2 linked regions of the Oryzias latipes genome follow. The protein of the gene in region 2 interacts with the protein of the main gene of each other region in a biochemical or structural test. Links are inferred from orthologs where the notes say so. Each region holds a gene or a part of one and is shown on either strand. Other genes may lie near its edges.

Region 1 (10,970 bases), on a different chromosome or scaffold from region 2:
ATGAAAAAGTGCAAGTCTGTTACAGAAATAAAACTTTATGAATTGTATCAACATGCAGGAAGAAATCATGTAAGATTACTTACACATGACACTAGAATACAGATAAAAGAACTAAAATACAAACATTAACTTGTTAATCCCCTGCAATACTTACATTGTCCGCTAGGCTGCAGCAGAGAACAGAAAGGAGAAAGAAAAGGTGAACAGATCTTGTCATGGTTGCCCCAGGTGAACTTTCACTTCAGGTGGACTTCAGTTTGCTGGAAACAAAACACAAACACAGCAGGGGATTAAAAATTAAAAATTAGGAATTAATGTATTTCAAGCTATCAAAACAAACAAAAAATACTAAAGAAGACAAACAAAAGAGATATACATCTATTCATAGATATATCAAAGTATAGATTAGTCACATTTTGATTGAAAAATTAAAAAAAAGTAGTGAAGATACATATGCATATTTATATATACACATCTAAATGATGGCATCATAATTATTCTTAATCATAAATGGACATATTTTGTACTTGATGATACAATTGTCAAAAAGAGTTTAATTATTTGCCAGAAAAAGAAGTGGGAGTAAGCAAATTTACAAAATTCCAGTTTTAAGTAAAATATTTTCAGGAATAAAAATCCTTCAATATTAGAGAATACTAATTAGATGATTTTAACCCTAAATTACTCTTGCAATTTGTCAGTATCCTAAATAAAAAAATGTTATTATCCAGTTGCTTACCAGAATATTGCCTCAAAAAAGCCAATCTAGCAGCCATATGTATTTGTATTTTTGTGCTTTCTCTTCATCCCAAAAGTATGTTACGACAACATTTGTATGGATTTTTAAATAGGTATTCAAGAGAAGAGGAAACTCCAGAAACTCCAGAAAAAGACAGATTTCTGTGCAGTATAGTAGTAGTAAAGTCATATAATCTAAGATGTCAAAGCTGAGATGCACATGGACATGCAAAATCCTATTGCAAATGTTGCAGGTAAGCGATCAATATTTGTCAACATGTGCAGAAAAACAGATTGTCTTCTTGTTTGGTTATACCTTTTCCTAAATGTCTATCATTTTGCTGTTTAAGAGAAACAATCTGGCAAAACTAAAAGCTATTTGTTAAAGTTTACATGAGTTCTCGGCAGAGAAAGGCCAACAAGTTTCCTCAGTTCTCTTCCCTGATTTGTTTAGATTCTCTTTTTGAGCCCTCTCTCATTAAGTTTATTCACATACAGATGCCAATTCCCCCTTGAAATAAACAGAGAGTGGAATATGTTCATCCTAAAAACATTAGCGACCACTTCAAACAATCCAACCAGGATTCTTAACCTGATAAGATTTAAGCTCCAGCAGAGTGGAGAAAAATGGAGGGTATGTGTGTTACATGACGGAACAGCTGTTTCTCAGTAAAGAGTGAATAAACATGAATCACCATCTGAAGGGGAAAAAATAGGGGGGGGGGGGGGGCTGCACCCATTTGACCAGAGAAACAGAAAGGAAGAGTTTATTGCAGCTTCAAAAACCACTTTAGGAAGCTCCTTTGAAGGAAAAGTCCATCAGAGATGAAGAAGATAGGTCCTCACTGACTCACTTTCTGGGGTTGACTGATCTTATGAAAAGGCTTTGTGTTCTGAGCCATCACAGAGGTAAAATAGCTGCGTCTGCAGCCACAAATACACACAGACCCATGCTCAGAGCTCACACAAAGGGCTCAGGACTGTGGAGCTAACCAGAAGTCAGAAACGGTTGTACCCTGCAACCTTTTCCTTGTCTGAAACCCCCCTTAAGCATGCAACAGACACACACTCACCACCAAAAAAGACAGGTCTGCAAACGAAAAGCTGCCGTTCTGAGCCTCCCCTCTGCCGGCCGAGCCTCACTGACAACAAAACAGCAGTTTCCTTTGTGTTTCCTTTGTGCAGCTATTCAGCGTGGTTCAGTCTCCAGCCGTGTCAGCTCAAAACATGTGTTTCCTGTTAAAACACAGGCAGGGCAGGCTGGAAGGGGCTCTCTGCATCGTCTGTAGTCTGTTTTCCATCTTATTACGAGCAAACACACAACCTACTTTCTACTTTACAATTTGCTCGATTAATTTATCTTTATACCAGTTTTTGTGGTAATGATTGATATCCATATTCTTAGCACAACCCAAGATTCTTTTCGAACAGATATTGTTGGTTGCATCGCACAAAAATTTCATAATGAACCTGAAAATGTACCCCCCCCCCTGCAAAAGTAAAAGAAGTTCCGATCAAATTGTTTTTATGTTTTACAAGAAAAGGTTTAACATGTGGAAACAAAATAGAAATGTTTAAATCCACGATCAAATCAAAGACAAGTTCAAAACAATGTGAAAAAATTTCATAAAAAAAGAGACAAAGCTCCACTGAACAAAAGTTCCAAGGCTTTTTTCCAAGAGCAATCACAATTATGTTTTAGAACCCTAGTTATTTCCAAGCTAAAATTGTTTGAATCATTCATGTTAAAATTTTCAATGAAAACAATCCTAATGAGGGGTGTCGGTTCCATTCCTGCATCACTGTAAAAATCCCAGGTGATTGGCAAACTCAACGGTGAGTTCAGGGACTAAAATAAAATAAAAAATCAACATCTTAAAGAGTCACCCTAATGAAAATTCTGTTGTTGTTTTTTTGTTTTTTACAGGTTCCTGTGGCTTTTTTCTGATGAGGGAGGAATATATAAAGAAAATTCGGCTTATTTTCTTTAGACAATATGTTGTGAATTTGGAGTTTGAAGGTGTGACAAACTGTAGAAGCTACTACGGCCAGCCACAAGCTTCCTGCTCCGCTCCACTAGATTCATGTATGTCTGTGTTTCCCTCGTCTGAGTTGTCTCTGCATTAAAACTGGTTACTTCGGATATTGCTCACCATATATCTACTGCACCGGTAATGTTCGGTTGGGGGTGTGAATGATAGGGAAGGGGGCGGGCTTACTCCACACCAACAGTCCTGCTCATGAATTTCTAATGAAGTGCTGCCGCTCTGCAGAAACTATGTCTTACAAAACGACAGTTGTTTTTTTTTTAATTTCCTAAAAATTGCATAATTATAATTGAAAGACCACTGGGAATACTTTAAATATAGATGAAAAGATGATCAGAGTGGGACTTTAAGTCAAAATGTAGAAATTTTTCTTATTTAAGACGATTTTATTTCATCTAAACTGGGAATTCTAAACGAATTTTGATCAAATCTGAAAGCAAATACTTCAGCTCCTCATGATAGAAGCTTATTGGACACCAGCAATGATGGGGTTAAGGCTTTTTGTGTGCTACACCCAGCCTGTTCACAACTGTAACACATACAACCAAGTATGCAGCCTGTGTAGAGGGAGTGTAGTTCCTCCTGTTAGTAGGTCAGATATGAGTGGAAGAACCACAAACATCTTCAGAGAATCTGAAGCCAGACTATGAATCATAATAGCAGGTCTAAAAGTGCAGCAGTTCAGTGGGGCAAACACAACAAAAGCATGCAAACAAAAGTAAACAGAGCTACTCCTGTCTCAGGAACAGGTCTTTAACAGGGAGATTTGTGATGAGTTCTCAAAAGTGTGATGATGGTGTACTGAGCGTGTAAATGGATGTGAGACATTTCTCTCGTATTGTGACCGAACAGAAAAGTCAGCAGGACAATAGAGTTGAGGCAGAAAGCTGCACTTTGCTGCTCAACTCAAATTACAGTTTGAAGTGGATCCCTGAGCCTCCCCTCCTCATTTCTGGTGTCAGCATGGACGATTAAAGGGGCCCAGCTGGGCTCCAGATCTTAGAAAACATGAAGGAACGTGGATGCTCTGCGTGACCAGCACTGCAAAAAGTCCAACCTGGATAGATGTCAACTGTGTCTTTGCACATATGTCAGGTTTCACAGCTGCTTTCAGGGGAAATCTGAAAAAGTACAAGGCGACTTTTATAGAGAAAAGGAAGCAAGAAGAGACAATTAAAGAAAAGAAATAAGGAAGTGATATTTCTATGGGGAAGTCTGCCGTCCGTCTCTGTTTTAGCCATAAATATTTGGACGTTTTTGTGTAACATTATTCATTTTTTCTTCCAATATTTGGAGGATTGTGAATTCTAAAGCAAATTTGAGTGTGAAAATTCTGTATCTACAGCTTTCATAACACCTTCAAAATACTTTTTGGGATTACTTCCTAAAAAAAGTTGTAAATTACTTTTAGGTTGTTTTTTTTTATGTCAGTCAGAGAACCAGTTTCTCCAGAACAAAGATGAGCATTGTTAGTTGTTGGCATCAGGAAACAAGAGTCTCTAACAGAAACTGGCTTTTATGTGAGGATATGAAAGGATGTGGAGAAGGATATTGCCATGAGAAAGGAAGAAATCCAATCTCAGAGGTCAACAGAGTAAGAATGAGTAGTTCTGAGTCATCCGAGCTTCCAGGACTGCAGACATGAAGGCATTGTGGGATTAATAGCTTGCTTTTATTCCAACTAAAGGTGTTTTTTCAAAAATCACAGAGAAATTCCCAGCAATACAAACATTACATGTTATCAGCTGTTCCCACAGTCTAATTAGGCAAACTTAAAGGCCTAAGCCGCTGATAATGTGAGTCAGAAACCCAGCTGAGCGCTTAGAATGAAGGTTCTGGATCTGCTTTTTCTAAGCTCAAATCGGAGTGATGGAGAAGCTCAGAGCCTGACAGGAGGAGGGTTACCTCAGGATCACCCTCTCATCCTGATTCTTCTAGTACAGGGGTCTGCAACCTGAGGCTCCGGAGCCACTCTTATCCTCTCCATTTTGGCCCTTTGGCTTTAAAGAAAAATGCTATCAATCTGAATTAATATTAGTTCCATTTTGTCATTTATTTTTGATTTTTTTTAACCAATCCTTACATTACTCCACTAAATCAGGAGGCATTGAGAACGTTACCATTCCTCCAAAATCAACGCACATCAAATAACTTTGCAAGATGATGGTAAAAAGTTTGATCTATTGTCAGAGTGGTTTATCATTACAACACATTTAAGCTCATATTCTAATGTCTAGTTGTTATTCAGCTGCAAAGTTCTAAAATCATGATTTCAAGTTAATCTACTGCAGCAGGGTGCATTTTATTTTGAAAGGAACTTTTATTTGATGCTGTCAAAAGTAATGGGCCTATAATAAAAAAAAAATTGTAATTCGATTATTGTAAATAGTTATAAGCTATATTTTAAATATGAATGGTTTAATGGCCACACAAAGATTTAAAAAAGAGTTTTTTCTAAAAAAAAAAAGTGCGGTCAGACTTTGTGACTCTAAACAAATTCCGATAGTGTTAAAGGTTGTAGAATATAAGTAATGATGCTAAAATAAATAATTCTATGACAGCTCAGTAAAAAAAAGGTTATATTTATAATACACATCACATACATAGTAATGTTAGACATTGTTGTTCAGGTATCTTTGAACAAACATCTATTTTTTTGTTTTGTTATTTTGCGTTTACATTTTTTGTCTAATAAAGATTCTGTCCAAAAGATAATTATGAAATCGGCAGATCTACAGTTTTCATTTTCGTGCTAAATGAATACAAACTGCTATAAGTGTGGAATAAACGCGCAGTAATCAGGCGCGATGGTCTGTCGGAAGAGGAAACAGCAGCGACCAGAGGAGAGAAAACGGTTCTTACCGGGTCTGGTGTCGGTATGAGATGTGGTTCCGTCCAAAGAAGTCTCAGGTTTGGATGGGGATGGTTCTGGCAGCTTTTATCGGACCGCTCCGGTCCCGCAGGATCCTGTAGGGGAGGGCCGACGTGACCTCAGCCGTAAGCGCGTTTTACAGGGCAGGAGGATGACGGTTGCGCGAGCGCGCGCGCACGCGGGGGAGGGACCCTAGCAGCAGCAGACCAATTTTAGGAAGAAATACATGTCCAATACAGTTAGTCCTTAAACTATTGTGTCCGTCAGTCAGTCAGTCAGTCAGTCAGTCAGTCAGTCAGTCAGTCAGTCAGTCAGTCAGTCAGTCAGTCAGTCAGTCAGTTAGTCAATTTCTTTATTTAAAAAAAAAAAAACACCGTTTAACTTTTCACACAAAAGCAGATTAAATGTCACCATGCTTTGATTACCCCCAAAAATTCTTCAATGATCCCCCGTTCAAGACAATAAAATAATCTGTGTGTACATTGAATAATAATTCAACAATATTGTAAAATTATTGGCAACAAGCAAAAGAGAATCAGACATAGTCACAGGGTTATTGTTTATTTTGGATCTAAATAAAGACAACATAAGCGTCAAAAACTATTTTATTGAATAATATTGAATTATTCTGTGATCTTTCCCCTCTAAAGAATTTCATATGTGATAGATAATTTGTTCATTTTAATCCTTAAAGATGAAAAGTGTCACATTTATTCATTGTGTGGTTTTGTTCTGACAGGTGTTAATTGAGATAGTGTTTACGGGGCATCTTTGATGATGGGGAGAGACTCTGTGTCTGGCACCAGAACTAATTCATCCCAACCACAACCCCCCCCCCCCCCCCCCTCCACCACCACCACCCCCCCTTTGTTCAACCCATCCCTTTCCTCAGGAAATCCGCCTCAACAATAGAACTAAGGTGGGTTTTTTACACGAATATTCATGCCAACCGCTTTGTACAGCAGTGAAACCCATATGGTATTACTCAGAGTGCATCATTTTAGCATGTAATGGGCGTCACTCTAATTTGTGTCTGTTTTATTTCACTTTTCTTCACAAAAAAAGGATACCATGCAAAAGTTCAGATTATTTCTAGTTGACGAACCAAGAAATCTCCAGTTTTTTTAAGTTTAATTTTTTATTTTTATATTAATTATTGACATGCTGATTGACAGACCTTCATAGACTAACTACATGGACAGGTAAATCTGATTCGCCCATTAATAAAATTTACCCCCAGAGACAGCCAAAGCCCTAACTGCTTACCTCAACAGCTTTACAACAACTAACATAAGAGCAGAAATGATAGTATTTGAAATACTAATCAAGCAAGCCCTGCACAATGGAATTACTTTTGTAAACTTAATTTCAAACTTTTTTGCATAAGTTCAAGTTCACTAAAGAAGTCATAATGTAAGAGACCTGGCTGAATGGCTGCTCTATGTATCAGTTGAACATGTGCTCCAAATCTAAAGAAAAAAACCCCATCAAGACTCTTATTATGAAAAGCCAACATCTATGATGGTAAGAAGTTCTATTATTTTCTATAGAGTTCACCCCCCCCCCTTTTTTATACATGAAAGCTATCATTTAGAACTAGTTCAAACAGAAATTATTAACAACAAAATAAGTGTGTTGGGTTCATACTGTTTGGGTCTACAATGCTGAATCACCCCCCCCCCCCCCCCTGGGAAAAAGTAAAAAATAATACAAAGCATTTTCTTTAAACAAGCATATAAATCTACCAATATTAACAAGAATTCTTATTTTAAGAAAAAAACATTAGACACTAAAGTTTTCTACAATTAAGATTATTTTTGCTGTTTTAAAATTGACGTGATTTGATCATCCTTTTTGCAAAATAGAAAATAAGACATTTTTTCTTGAAACTAGAATCTTATTTCATATTTCTAAGATTCAGTTTTTGCAGTGTAAGATGAAATGCAGGAATTTGCTGATGTTGTTTTTGGTTCTGTTTGTCAATTTTTCCATTTGTACTTTTAAAAACACAAATGAATGGGGTTGAAAACAAACTGTAGCTGTTGTAAAATGTCTTCCTTAAATATTAAAGGAATTAATTTATATTGTAGAGACAATTAAGAATTAGAATATTTTGGAAACACAATGTGGGTTCTGTAGTATGTAATTAGGGGCTAAATCTGTATAATCTGAGGCTTAAATAAATAAATTATACACAAAATAAATAAAGCAAAAACTGTTTTTTTTTCCCGTGTCACATTTATAGCCCTATTTGGTGGACCGCTGTCTTCTCTGGGGGACGTATCTCCTTCTGTTTTCATAAACAGGAAAATCTTCCATCCTCCTCCTGAACTGTCCAATCTGATAACACCGTTCTCACAGATTACACCACAAAAACATCACAAACCACCAGAGTCTCAGCGTTTAGAGCAAAGCCCGGTGATGCTTTCGATTCCGGATAAACACTTCCATCTAAGAATAGCCTCCACAGCATCACTGTGTGACGCTGGAAAGTTTGAAGTGCCTCTTCTTCCAAAAAATCCAGCATCTTTCAACCTAAGACGCAAAAGAATCGATGGGATGACGTCACTGAAAAAGAACCTTTGACTTCAGTTGAAACCAAAGCTCTTTATAAGCAACATCCTTACTGGTGAGTGTTTAATACATGAACATCCTACAAACAAATTTGATGGACATCTCAAAAAATTGGAAGATAATCAGTAACGATGCTTCTGTTCAAATGTGTTTTTACAAAAACAGGTTTTGCAAACGCTTTGAAATCTAAGATACTCTAAACAATATCTCTGTCTTTTGTTTTGATGAGTAACTGAAGGGAGATGATTACAGATGTATATTTTAAGTGGTACTGAAACGGAGTTAGAGGCTGACTCAAGCGTTACTCTTATTAAAAGTCTTTAATGTGTCCAAACTGTTTCTCTAAATATTTATGACTGAAATGGCAGAAAATGATAGATCCGAGCGCACAGGAGTGATGGAATGTTCAACCACTCTGTTTTGGTGATGATCTGCTTTTATTCCAGAGGTGAACAGATGAATGAAGACATTATTTTTTACTATTTCCTTGCAGATCAACCAAAATCCACAGAAAAAGCTTCAATATTAAGATGTCTTTTTGGAAATTCAGGGATTTATTGTAAAACTTGAATTTTATTATGACAGACAGAGATTTACTGTACATCTTGAGAAAACCGCTGTCAGCTCCGGACTTTCCGGACCACACTTGTGGAAGTGTGCAAACAGGAAATAAATGCCTGTTCTCCTATCATCATTAATCTAAATTAAATTACCAGAAAAACAATCTATGATTTGCTCCTACCCTTGGTTGCGGACCCTAAGAAGCCTATGAAGCCCATCTGCTGGACTATTTAAACATGTAGTTGTCGAGTTAGATAAGCTAATTCTTCCAAGGGTTCTGGTACATCGCCTGTCCGTCCAGGGGGAGGATCCTACGTTTTTGTGGACACCCCTGAGGTTTCTTCTTTTGATTTATTTCATTTTCAAGCCAGTTCCTACTTCCCATCATCCCTTTGTTTACACACTCTCCCACTAGCTTACAGCCCCTCACAACCCCAACCTAACATTACTGGTGCAACTAAAATGACGAGCAATACTGAAGCTATCCAGCTGTACAGTTTTGAGCCAGATGCCAGCTCAGACATACATGAATCTATTTGTCTGCAAGTGGATGTATCAGAAGGGAGCAATGAGCTTGTGACTTTGCATTGCAGGTTCTGCATCACAGTTACCGGTACAATGTTTTTCCTATTTTTTCTTCTTCTCCTGATTCACGATTTTAATGAAGAAATACCCAGAAATGCAATTTTAAGCTTGCGTTTTTCTACACACTGTATGTCCTCCATCAACATAAATTGTTACAAGAACGTGTTAAAAACACAAAAAAAACGATTATCATTGGAGTGGGTCTTTAACTTTACAGAACAAAAACTGTTCCTTGACTTAAACACCTTTTTTTAAACGAAACCTTTGCAAATGTGTGCCTAAAATGACTGATTATCAACCAGAAATGTGGTCCCTAAAGATATATCTAGGACCTCCTGCTCAAATTATTTTTGACAACAAACTTGGCTGTTTGTGACCTAAAACAACCTCAGTGCCTGTATTTGTCAAACGGTTTAATTTAACATATCCGAACAAATCACCTAAACATCACTTCCTCAGGTGAGGGTTCCAGCAGGGAAAACAAACAAAAGGTCCAGTGAAGATCACTTTTGTTTGAGTTAATATATAAATATATCAGCAGAAAATTTTGGAATATATGTTTTGTGAAGGCAAAATAATACAGCTGCTTCAAAATCATCAAAGAACACTTAAAGAAAAAGGTTTTATTTTTTACCAAATATAGATAAGTAATAAAAAAAAAGAAAAAGAAAAAATCACATGTTTTTAAGCCTTTTTATAGAAATAATCGATACATAAGCTGCTTTGAAAACTGCTACTAAGACTATTTAGTTTGTGCAAGTTAAGTTTATGTATTTCAGGTGTAATTTTAAAAAATCAGGAAGCACTTGTCCTCAAAAAGGGTTTTATTTAATCTAAAAAGAGGGAAAAGATGATAAAAAACGATGCTAAGTACAGATATCTCTGTGGTTAAAACAGAAATAAAAGAAACAAATCAATGTAAAACTTTTAGAGAGTAGAAATAAAAGAATTTAAAAAAAATAGAAGATAAAACAAAAGAAAGTAAAAGAAAGCGTCTTGTTTTGGCTCCGCCCACATGTGGGCGGGGTCAGTCCCCCAGGTTTACAGGAAACTTGAAAAGCAGGAAGTCCTCAACTTCTTCAGATTTGTTCAAACTTTCCCCGAAAATACGAGATTAACCTTCAAAACACAACATTTGTTGCAGTTTCTGAACCGTTTTTACAGTGTTCACCACCAAGGTAGGACAAAAAAATCGAACTTTGATAGAAACTACACGTGTGCTACGCTACAATTAAGTAAATAATTAGCAAATATGTTTGTTTGTGAACACACAGAAGGTCCGAGCAGAAGTTTTAAGTACGTTTCAGCAGCATTGAGACTGAAAAATACAAGTTTGAGGGTTGAAACGTTTCTGTGACGGTGACCAGGCCTCAATGAAACAAACTGACGAGCCGGTACTTTATTTTATTCTGACAAACACCGAACCTTTCGGTCTAACAGGTTAAATATTTAGATTAAAACTTAGATATATTTTATTGTCCTTCTTAAAAAACTGTTATGAGTTCAACTCCATCATCTTAATATAAAAGTAACAAAGATAAACACTTAACTATTTTCTTTTACACTTAAATAAACATCTAATTTTAGTCCAA
Region 2 (11,094 bases):
GAAACTTTGGTTCTGGTTGTAGATTTCAGCTGACAGCATGTGTGTGGAATTTTGTGAGGATCACTCAAAAAAAAGTTTTCTTTTCCAATGTTGTTGGAAAATCTTTTGTCTTTCCAAAAAATATATATCCATATTTTTAATTCCAAATAGAGAATATTTTCTTGTTTTCTACAGAATAAACGAACACAAATGAAGTCATTTGTTGTAGTTAATAAACATAATGACTCACAAGCACAAATAAAGGGACATCCCAGTGTTCTGGGTCTCTGCTTACCCACTCGTCATCCGAACACAGGACGGCCTTCGCTGAACACTGAGGTGACCCGTGACCGGGGGGGTTCCAGAGGATGTGGGGGCGGTCCTGCCTCTGCTGTTTGAGCCTCAAACACACTGCAGGAAAGCAGAAGCAGGTCAGGCGACCTTCAACTAAGCCCCAGTTCAAACCACAGCGAGGGTCGGAGGTCACCAACGGGAACCGGTCCACCCCTCAGAGATCCACTTTCAGATGTTTCTCTTTATTGATTTATTGAACGTCCCATCAGGTGGATTTTGGAAGCAGCTTTTGGTTTGTTTTTGAAGAATTTTGTTTAATTTATTAGATTTATTTAAGTCTTTCCTATAAGGAGTAAAGAGAACTTATGAAGAACCTTCACAATTCTATATTGGTTTTAAGAACTAAACTGAAGAAACAAAAATGTACAAACAGGAAAGTACCATGATACTAATGGACGAGATAAGAAATAAGACCAAAATTTAACCTGCAGATAAACTCCGTTATTATGTAAAGTGGCTGTAAAGTCACTTGTCCACCTAGGCTTATTTTAAATGTATTTATGTTACAATATATTGACATTATTCACCTTTACATGAATCTTTTACCTAGTTGAATAACACAGGTAACTAAAATTTAGAGATAAATGTAAAAATATTCCATTAACTACAAGAACTGAACATTTCTTGAGGCTTTATTTCTTGTGAAATTCATGGTGTGTGGAAAAAAACAGCCAGAGCAACTAGAATGATTTCTCAAACCTTTATTGATGGAACAAAGGTGATTTATTGATCCACAGAGTTCAGTAATCCAGAAAACATCAGGTCAGGAACTTTGGATGGATAGAGCTAACAACAGTGTCCTTGTCAACCTAGTCAACAGTGGGAGGACGGTTCCTAGTACGCTTTGGTGAATAAAAAACACCTCGACTCGTTTGTTTACCAAAATACAAAAAGAAACTTAAGGTTTTCTGCTTTTAAGACTCTGCGCTGTTCTTTAGTTAAAAAGCGGCGGATCGGATGAGCATGCGAACGGTTTTCAGGCTGTAGTTGACGGGTTTGAACGATGACCACACCACTCCGTTCTCGGTCTTATACGGCGTGTTTGTCGCTGGGTCATATTCGCCTTTATAGTACACCCCATTTAAATTAGCCGCCTGGCAGCTGTTGTACCACCACCCGCCCCCATACGCCTCGGCACAGTTCTCCCCCCAGTTGTCGTTGTCTTTGTCAAATGCACTGAACTTCATGCCGTCGTGAGTCACTTCAGAGGCTTTCTCTGACGTTGGTGCGGCCAGAGAGTCTCCAGCGTCTCCTGTGTAGCCAGAGACATGCAATGGAAAGCCCTCCTGTTCTGAGCCTACCCTCATCGTGTACTCGGCACTAGCTTTTCCCCCCTCCCAGTCCTCCAGCTCCACTTTTAGGATGGTCTCACCCTGACTTGTCAGCAGGTGGAGGTTCTCGTTGCCCAGCCAGAACTCGCCCTTGCCCTGAGCATCGACTGAGCCAAACCCGCCGCGATAGTCGGCCCAGGAGCGGTTGAAGCTAAGAGCTCCGCTCTCCCTCTGCTGAACTAACAACCAGCCCCCCATCACCCCCTCCTGCTGGCAGTAAACCTCCACCACCTGTGTGGAGTCAGCGCCGCCGGGTTTGATTTTAAACAGGCCATTTGTTTCCCCTTTCAGGTGCTTCTGGTTGGCTTCAACACAATCTGTAAACAAGGAGGGGCACACAGCAAACCGCCAGTTAGCGTGGAGCAGCTTTCCCCATTTTAAGACCCATTTACAATCAGGCTACAGGCATGTTTTAAGACCAGGTTCTAGGGCCCTACTGGTGCTCACAAACTGAACCATCGTAACAATAAGAAGACATTGGAACGTAAGTAAAGGCTTGATTAGGTCAGCTAGATGGTTAAGTTGTGTTGTTGTAAAGAACGCTGACGCAGTGTGAACTCAAAGAAACACTTGTGTTCTTTTATTTAATTTGTTTAGCGAGGAGCACAACAGATGACACAGTAGCAACTTCAGCTGTTAGCAAACAAAGGTAGGCACAGTTAGCGTGTAGCTACAACCCTGATAAAAAAGCTAAAAAAGTAAAAGAAGCAACCAAAGGTTTAAATGCTTTCAAGTCATCATTTTCTTTATTTCCACCTTTTGTTTTGCTCTCAATTATGCTAAAGGCTACAAAAAAGTTGGGACGATGGCATTAACGTCTGGTGTTTATGCTAATGCTAGCTAACAGGCTGAAATTTGCTATCTAGCTGACTCCTTCTTTCTTGGCTTTGCAGATTTTACTCCAAGTCAGTAGTTTTGGTACCTTTTCCTACATAATCGGCCTGCCGGTTGACGACCGTGCTCCCTAGACTCCGGGCATGGAAATCCGGAAGATCATCCTCTGCGTTGTCGGTCATGAAGGCTCCGAGGTCGCTCCCAAGGTCGCCCTCAAACGGATTTCCTAAAAGCCCTCCTTTGGCTCCACTGCTGAAACCACTTTTGGTTGACATGGAGGACGATGTGTGGCTCAAACTGGGGAACAAGGAAGTCAGCCCACCCTTGGTGAGATCAGCTCCCCCTTGGCACTCTGGTCCCCCTTCAGTTACCGTCTCGTACCTTTCTACTGGCCCAGCCTTTGTCTGAACCACAACCTTTTTCATATGGGTGGTGCAACTGACACTTTTGGTGGTCACACTGCCTGTACTCGCCTGACTGAAACCGCCAAACCCTCCTAACCCTCCACCGAAAAAGTCTGTGTCGCCACGTCCTCCAAGCTCAGTGATGGACTTTGATGGATTGGAGGAACCAGAGCTGGAGGAGGATGATGAGGATGATGATGATGATGTTGACGGGAAAGGAGTACCTGGCTCTTTGGAGACGGTTGCGGGAGACGAGCTGGAGCCTTCCTCCTCCAGGACAAGCTTAAGCGTTTTAATCTGAAAGGAATGAAAGCGGTAAAAACTTCAGAATAGGAGTCAACATTAAACTTCAACTTTAAAAGACTTCGGAAAGTCACAAAGTAAAAACAGTTGGACCCCATCCTCAATTTTTATTTTCCTGAGAATCTCCACAGAACTGCTCAGAAATGTACCAGTACATGCTTGTGATAAAAGACGGGCCAACAGTTTTCCATTAGTTCCAATTTGGGAAAGATCCCGAAAAGATTTTTTTTAATTACTTTTCTTATCAAACTCAACTCATCTGCGACAAGAAAAGACACACAATCTTTGCGTAAACTACAGTAACTCTTTGACCATTCACGCGAATAACGTAATTTCAATTGTTGAACATTTTCTAGTATTGATACTTTATATGGTAATTTGTTAAGGCAAGGTGATGGAGATCTTAAATTTAGCGGTTCCCAACGCGCAGGCCACGGGCCGGTTGGTGGGACAGTTGGTAAACACATCATGATCTTCATTTTTTCCCAATTTTTGTTCCAAATTGATTCTAAAGGAAGTTTTATTTTGAAAATCGACCAGATTCCCTCTCCACCACACCCGACTCATTCTTGGCACATGTCAAGTCCCTCAGTCATGTGTTGAAAATCCATCTGCTACTACAAAATAAAAAAACCTCACTCTACCAAATGTAAACTGTAACTCTATTGATTTATCCAATAAATGTAAGTCCAACAGATTCTGACTCAAAGAAAATACGCTTTCCGTCGATATTTAATTCTTTGGAATTACGCGGTGCGTGATTGAAGAGCTAGAAGCTAGGGTAATTCAAGATATTCAACTCTCAAAGTTTAAACTTTCATACATAAAAAAAGTCCAGGATTATAAAAGGAAAAAAGAATGAACTCTGGAGAGGAGACATGTCACAGATGAGACTGATTGACAAGGTCAGCAGCCAACCAGGACGAAGAACACAATACCCTGTAAAAAAGACGCAAAGTTGCACCAAAGAAATTGCGAAACAGAACGACAGCGAAAGGTGAACCACGGTAACATCTGACCAGAGTGTTGTAGACTAAGAGCTCTCTGTACATGTAAACATTCTGAACAGATCTTTAGGCAGAGAAAACACTTTGCACCGATATGCAACACTTTAAGCTACTAGCATGCTATCGTAAAGTGTTGCATGTTGACGTAAAGCTGCTTTCCTCAGCGTCAGAATTCCTCGGTTTACGTTAATTGCGTAAATGGTTGAAGTCCCAGTGGTTCAAAGAACATCAACAATCAGGGTTAGGGTTAGGGTTAGGGTTAGACCTTCAGTTCTGGTGTTGGGGGTTAAGATAGGGTGTGACGATTCATTTTGGGATTATATCATAATGTGTGGTCGCAGATACGATTCATATCGGTTCATTGTGAACAACCCACTGACCTAAAATTGATCCTAGACATCTTTAGCCAAAAATTCATCCTGTGACTATTTGTTGTTGCGTTGAAGAAAAATGGCACATAGGTGTTTTTGGGTGGTCAATAGTGGCTTACGTCACTGAACAGGTCCTGTTTCTGTTGACCCTGCACGGCCTTGGATTTGTAGATGCTGTCCACCTGCAGGTCCTTAAGCGGCCGGCTCTTCATCACGTAGAGCGTCCCGGCTGCTTCGATGTTCTGTGGCGTCTGCGAGTCCAGCTGGGCTACCTGATGGACAGAGAGACAGAGAGACCTTCAAAAGCAGGTCTTCTCACTGATGTGGTGGAACTGCGGCGGTCCCCACCTGCTTTTCCAGGGTGACGTAGCTCTGCTGGTCCACCTGGTACTCATGGTAGGTTGCACAGGATCCCTTACAGGAGCGAAGCTTCATGTCGATGTCGACCTGCCAGAGAGCAACAGCAACAGACGTCACCACCAACAGATGAACCGGTTTAGGTTCAGGTAGATGTTGCGCTCTCTCCATACCTCCAGCCTTTGCATTTCCGTGACCTGTTCCCTGATTCGCCCCTTCAAGGCGGCCATGACTTTCATCTGTCTGTCAATCCTGATTTTGATCTCTGTGATTCTCTGACGCAGACTCTGGGCCAGTTCGAAGTACTTGTTGTCGTGACCTGTTTGGAGACGATAGCACAACCGATGGGACTTCCTGTCCACCAAATCCAGGAGGAGAAGAGACGGTTTTCTGACTCTGACCTGCATCGACGGTGAGTTTCTCCCGCAGGTAGTCGTGGGTCTGCTTGGACACCTGGTCGGCAGAGCGATACTTTCCCTTGTGCTGATTCAGCTGGTCACGGATGTACTCGATCCTTTTCAGCAGGTCATGGTCATATTTATCCATCAGACCTTGAATCCTGCAGCCGGAAGGACATTTGTGGCCCTACGGTGGACAAAAGGGGTCAAATTAACACACTACAAGAAAATGACAGAAAAATGAATTTAAATCAACTTTTGTAGGGTTTAAGTAACCCCCCCCCCCCCCCCCAAAAAAAAAAATATAAACAAAATAAAAAATGTGACATTTAAATCTCTGCAAATGATGCATTAAAATATACAATTTAAAGCTGCAGGACAAAGACTGTCTGCTTATTTTTTTCTCTACGAATGAAAGATAAAAAAAAACAGGAAATGACATTATTAGAGGAAGCGCGTTCATTGGTTGTCTCTGATGGTTTAGTGTGGAAAGGAGCAGAATGACCTTGAAGACTTGACCACGAATCCTAAAGGACGATGAACTGAGCGTTTAGCAAAACCTAAAGCAAACATGAATCCCTTACAGAAGTCAGGAGGTTTTACCTTTTATACCCCAAAAACATTTTAATGAGTTTAAGTCCAACATAAGTATAGAGATGCTAAAGATTATTGTCATCCGTGTTCCTCCAAAATATAACATGGTTACAGTGTTTAAAGAAAGGTAAATGTTGGGGCTTTTGTTTGACATTTGGACACCCATATTCATACTTTTATTGGGTGCAATTATCAGTTATCAATGGCCCTTGACCATTAATCATCTGTATCTTTGAAGGAAGCATGTCAGGCGATCGCTAAACGAAGACATTTTCGTCAGTAAATTGTTTGTTTTAGCAGAATTTCCTTGTGCATCCAAAGTTTTCACAGCTGTTTTTCTGTTTTTATTGAAGTGGTTCCCTTCTTTGCTTTGTGTTTTCGGTTGAAGGGGGGGTCAAACCTGGTGACATGTGTTATGACGAGGCTGTGTGTCGATTCTTGAGAAAACGTTTATCCGTTACGGCTAAGTTCATCGAACGCTCCGTACTGCAAAGACCGTTTCGAAGGGAATCGTGAAAAGGAAAAGAGTCTCTGAGGAGGTTTTTAGGAAAACCACAACATTCCTCCCCCGGACCATTACTTCAGCTACTCTGACCGTGTGTTGAATGAATAGGCGGTAAAACGAGGAAGAGTACCCAGTCATCGTCGAGACAGAACGGCCACTCCTTCTGCGTGGCACATTTCTCGTCTCTGGTTCCATGTTCCACCGGTCGAGCTCCTCTGGGGTCGATGACGGTGTCCTGAAACAACAGAGACTGGGCTGTGAGGACCAGAGGCTGGTCACTGCGTCAGAAAGAGACCAAAGCTCACGGAAATATAGTTCAAACTAAAGGTTCTCTGGGATCCTCAAAAAAGAAGCAACACTTAAAACCTCCAGAGAGGCGTGTCTCACCTGTGTGAAAGCCACACAAAGCAGGCAGGTGAGAACCACGAGCTGCTTCATCCTTCTCTCTTCTGTGTCTGACTGCATCTGCGCAGCTGCAGTCACATCTTTTGAAGGCCTCCACCAAAGCTGTGACTCACCAGAGAGCCGCCGGCCGTCAGGTCGCATCAGAGTTGAGCAACGGCTCCTGCTGATCGATACGTCGCTGTTTGTTGTCCTGCTGTGGCAAAGTACACAATCTGTGAACCCAAACACGCACAGCTTACCAGCAGCCCATCCTCCACGTCCTCCAAAGGCAAACTTTCCCTGATGGTAAACAGGACCGACTCATCCTGTGACTGATCCTGTACGATGAATGAGACTTGCAGAGTCAAGCTTTGGTCACATGAGCGTTTGAGCCAGTAAAAGCCATGTTTCAAGTCTTTTAAAGAGACCTCAGGTCACCTCGGTTCCCCTGAAAAGCTTTGTCACAAAAGCTTTGTCACAAATACTCAGTTAATAAGTTTAAAAACATTTTTTTTCCCCCTTTTTATGTTTGACACAGATTATTTGTCCTCCTAGAGAGGAGCCGCTGCATGTTAAGGGCAGAGCAGTTCCCTTGAGTCTCATATACACTTCAAAGGACGTCATTGTCACGGCGCAGTAAGGCTAATGAAAGTGGGTGTCGTACACCACACTCTAGTCGTTAATGACATCACGCGAATGCCGAGTGTGATGAATAGGTGGTCATCGGACGCCCGTAAGATGTCCACACTAACTACACTCTGATTGTCTAAGGATGCGTGGACACCAGGCATGTGATGCACATTGAAGAACGCTCTGAACACAGGTTCTAGAACGAGCTGGACTGGCGCTGCCCAATACTAGCACATGTCTGCCACCTACAGTTGGAGTGGTGTGACATGTCAAAGCTTTATTCCAATATATGAAAGACATTGAATGATCCTAATTTGTAGATTTTGACTTTGTGAAATCAGTGACGTCATATCTGTTGTTTAAAACAACCAAAATAGTGAGCACGGTGTCTGAATGGTTTTTAACATCCAGGCCACTAGTTAGTTCTGGACTACATCGTTAGAGTTTGTCGTCTTGTATAAACTATTTCTCTGCAGAAACACTGCAGACCTTCATGGCTTTGCAGAAGAAACACGCAAACTCTGGTTTATCCCTTGTGGTATCCTAGGCACTTTAACATTGGGAGTTGGGTCATCTAGACCCACTAGACAGTGCTCTGAACCTTTTTTCTTCAATGATTTGTGATCTTCACTGGTGTCCATGGATTACATTAAATCTTTCCACCTTTATCCACCTTTGTCATGGTAGGGAGAACACGTTAAAAGTCATCTTGACCCCATAGGATAGCACAAGGGTTACAAATGAATCTAAAGTCATTTTTTTTCTCTGTTTGTCTTTTGTTGTGGTTTAAATGATTGTGTCATTCTTGTGTTGGCGTTTCTCACCATTGTTGACAGTTGACATGTTGTGTGATAAAATGCCTCTAAACTGTGACATTTGCCCTGCGTGTGCCTGATCCCACCACCAGGTGGAGGCAGACGATGGCTTTCCACCCCCGAGGTGGGCAGTTCTACACTCGGGGGTCCAGTCCCTGACCTCAGTGCAGGCTGTGAGCACTGCCTACAGTCTTTGGACCGAACACACCTGATCCAGGTCCTCTGGATCGAGGTGGAGACGCAGGACGGGGGGGCTCTAAGGGGCGGAGTTAAATGATGTTGATTTCCTGAACATCGTCTGGAGCACAAAGAATTGCTCCGCCCTCTCCAGCCGCTGACATCCACTCATCCTCCGGCTGCGCAGGACAAAAACTCCGACTGTCATTACGCAGACGGGCCAACACCCCCCTCCCCCCGTCCTTTGATGATTCTCCTTTGAAGTGGGACATTTTTGAAGTGCCTTTTGAAGTGCCTTTTGCTGATATTGTGAGCCTGAATGAAGCAACTCAGTCATTTTCCATTTAAAGACCCCGTTACTGACCCTAATTCATGCAGGACGCAGCGTGACTGGAACTGACAGAACTTTGAAGATGCCACCGTCTTCCTGCAGAATTTGCTTTGGTCAGCTGCATGTGGAACTGGGGGGGGGGGGGTCTTTCAGAATGATCTCATTACGGTGCTGCTCTGAGACGTGACACACCTGACGTTTGGCACAAAAACTGTGATCTGATCAGCAGAAAATCACTGCAGATCACAGACGACCAAAGTACGTGTGTGCGGGCCCCCGGGAAGCTGTCACCATGGCAACCAGAGAAAGTTTAGGTCAATGGAGACTTTTCCTTCACTCACTAAACAAACCCAGTCACATGACCACATGAGAGGAAGAGATGACTGTACAGTAAAGTAAGATTCAATTAAATTTAATGTTTACAGCCCAACATTACCACACAGTCGGGCTTCACACCGATAATCAGTACAAAACCTAAAATCAGTTGTAAAATACTACAGCTGGCTACTAAACTAAACAGAATAAAGTAAACTAAACTAAATGAAACTAAACTAAACTAAACTAAACTGGCATCTCTGCCTTTAGATCCTCCTTCTCTGTAAGGAAAAACAGAGGCATGGAGACTAAATGATAACTAAAGGATCAAGAATAGAGGAGAGTAGAAGTAGATGAGAACAGAGGACAGAACCCCAGTGCACCATAGTTTCCCCAGCTTCAAACTATTGGCCTACTAACAACTTTATTGTTATTGTGATTAAATGTAATTCACCCCGACACCTGACAATCTCTGGTCTGACCTGAACAACACCTGAAGCTCACAGTCCATATTGTTTCTCCACACATTCATGGATTATGTCCTGATTTCAGTGATGGTTTTATTTCTTAGAAACAATAATTCTTTTGATTTGAATGGTTCAGCGTTTTTTTCCTGATGGTTTCTATCAGCCGTATTATTTCTCTGACCTTCTCGTCGGGTCTGTTGGGCGTCCACATCGTTTCGCCTTCTTTTGCCGATGCGGCACAAATATATATTTTCCATCCAAACAAAAGCGTATCCGTCTCTGCCGCCGCCAGAGCAGGCAGACGACATTCAGGCCTGATGTTCCCGCGAGCTTTCACACAAAAGAAGTCTTCTACAGCGGCGGAACCAGTCTAAATGCTAATGGAGTCGGTTTTCAGCGGCTTGTATCAGGTTCTCTTTACTTAACGTACAGAGCACTGAACCTGGATTTCACTTTCATTTCCCCAAAATGGAAAGTTACAACAATGTCGGACAAGCAGAGCCGCTCAGCTTCTGAGATCGTTGGTGAAAAAGTGGCAGGACGCGGGTCCACGGACTCAAACCTCCGGATCCTCTTTATCCACAGCATCTGCACTTCAGTCAAAGAATGTTACCTTTAATAAATCATCTGCATGGCAGGCAGAATACCAAACTGCTGAATCCCATTTAGGCCGATGGAGCCGACCTCCAGAGGCTCAATTAGAGAAGAGGTGCTTCTTCTGCGGCTGACGTTTGTCCGCCCCCCTTTGAAGAAAACTCGCTCATTTAAAAGACCAAATGACCACAGGCCTCCCCCACAATACACCACAACGACACCCACATGGCGGCCGCCACCCACCTCTGAACTTCACGTGGATCATTTAAACTCCCTGCAAAGCAAAAGGCTAAAGCTGAGGAACTTCTGAAGACAAAAGTTCTTCTTCAGAAGAAGAAAACTAAGATTACGTTACCGTGGCAACGTCTCTAAACCAAACACAGAGCCGGTAAATGGTTAGGACTTCAACTCTGTGTTTCAGTGGAGCAATCTCTTATTCCAAAATCAATATTTAATTAACCTGGAGTTGATCTGATCAGTCATTTCATGAGGAACCAGAAGCTCGTAGTCATAGCAACCAGCAAAAATAAATGTTCAAAGGTGGGGATTTTTTCTGTGTTCACCTCCTGATATCCGTCTCTTCAAATGTTGGTCTGATCATCGTCCGACCTTTTCAGCTGCACAAACTTCAACTTCTTCACAGGAAGTTGTGTCTTTCAGATTCACTAAAGGGAAAACAGACGAAACCTTTTAGTACCTGAATTCTTTTTATTTTTTTTAAGTACCTGAATTCTTGATTCCAGATCTTCTAAGCATCTCTTTACTTTTCTTCCATTTCCTTGTGTGTCTGTTGACAAACAACTGAGTTCAGGACTTGAAGGTTTGAGTTTTTTTTCAGCAAAGAAAGTTTTTTTGTTGTTGTTCAAAGTTGTAAAAAACACTTGTGTGTGTGAAATTTGTTCCCGGCATGTTACCCCTCCCCTGGGGGGGCGGTGAGCTGCAGA

The links.
Region 1: the proteins of fga (region 2) and plat form a complex in vitro, tested with the Homo sapiens proteins (2 studies listed by BioGRID). The link is inferred for Oryzias latipes from reciprocal best matches to the Homo sapiens genes FGA and PLAT.

Annotation. Positions count from the first base shown.
Region 1 is NC_019867.2:6,186,021-6,196,990, forward strand, and holds the start of plat (tissue-type plasminogen activator precursor), read right to left. Parts: upstream 5,700-10,970; 5' UTR 5,649-5,699; intron 1,946-5,648; exon of another isoform or gene 1,812-1,945; intron 261-1,811; 5' UTR 218-260; coding exon 155-217; intron 1-154. Other genes in the region: ikbkb (inhibitor of nuclear factor kappa-B kinase subunit beta), read left to right, coding at 10,394-10,556. UniProt on the Homo sapiens protein: Converts the abundant, but inactive, zymogen plasminogen to plasmin by hydrolyzing a single Arg-Val bond in plasminogen.
Region 2 is NC_019876.2:1,411,868-1,422,961, reverse strand, and holds fga (fibrinogen alpha chain), read right to left. Parts: upstream 7,118-11,094; 5' UTR 7,093-7,117; coding exon 7,082-7,092; intron 7,003-7,081; coding exon 6,825-7,002; intron 6,673-6,824; coding exon 6,568-6,672; intron 5,526-6,567; coding exon 5,342-5,525; intron 5,260-5,341; coding exon 5,114-5,259; intron 5,031-5,113; coding exon 4,932-5,030; intron 4,856-4,931; coding exon 4,703-4,855; intron 3,200-4,702; coding exon 2,587-3,199; intron 1,982-2,586; coding exon 1,272-1,981; 3' UTR 1,019-1,271; downstream 1-1,018. UniProt on the Homo sapiens protein: Cleaved by the protease thrombin to yield monomers which, together with fibrinogen beta (FGB) and fibrinogen gamma (FGG), polymerize to form an insoluble fibrin matrix. Fibrin has a major function in hemostasis as one of the primary components of blood clots.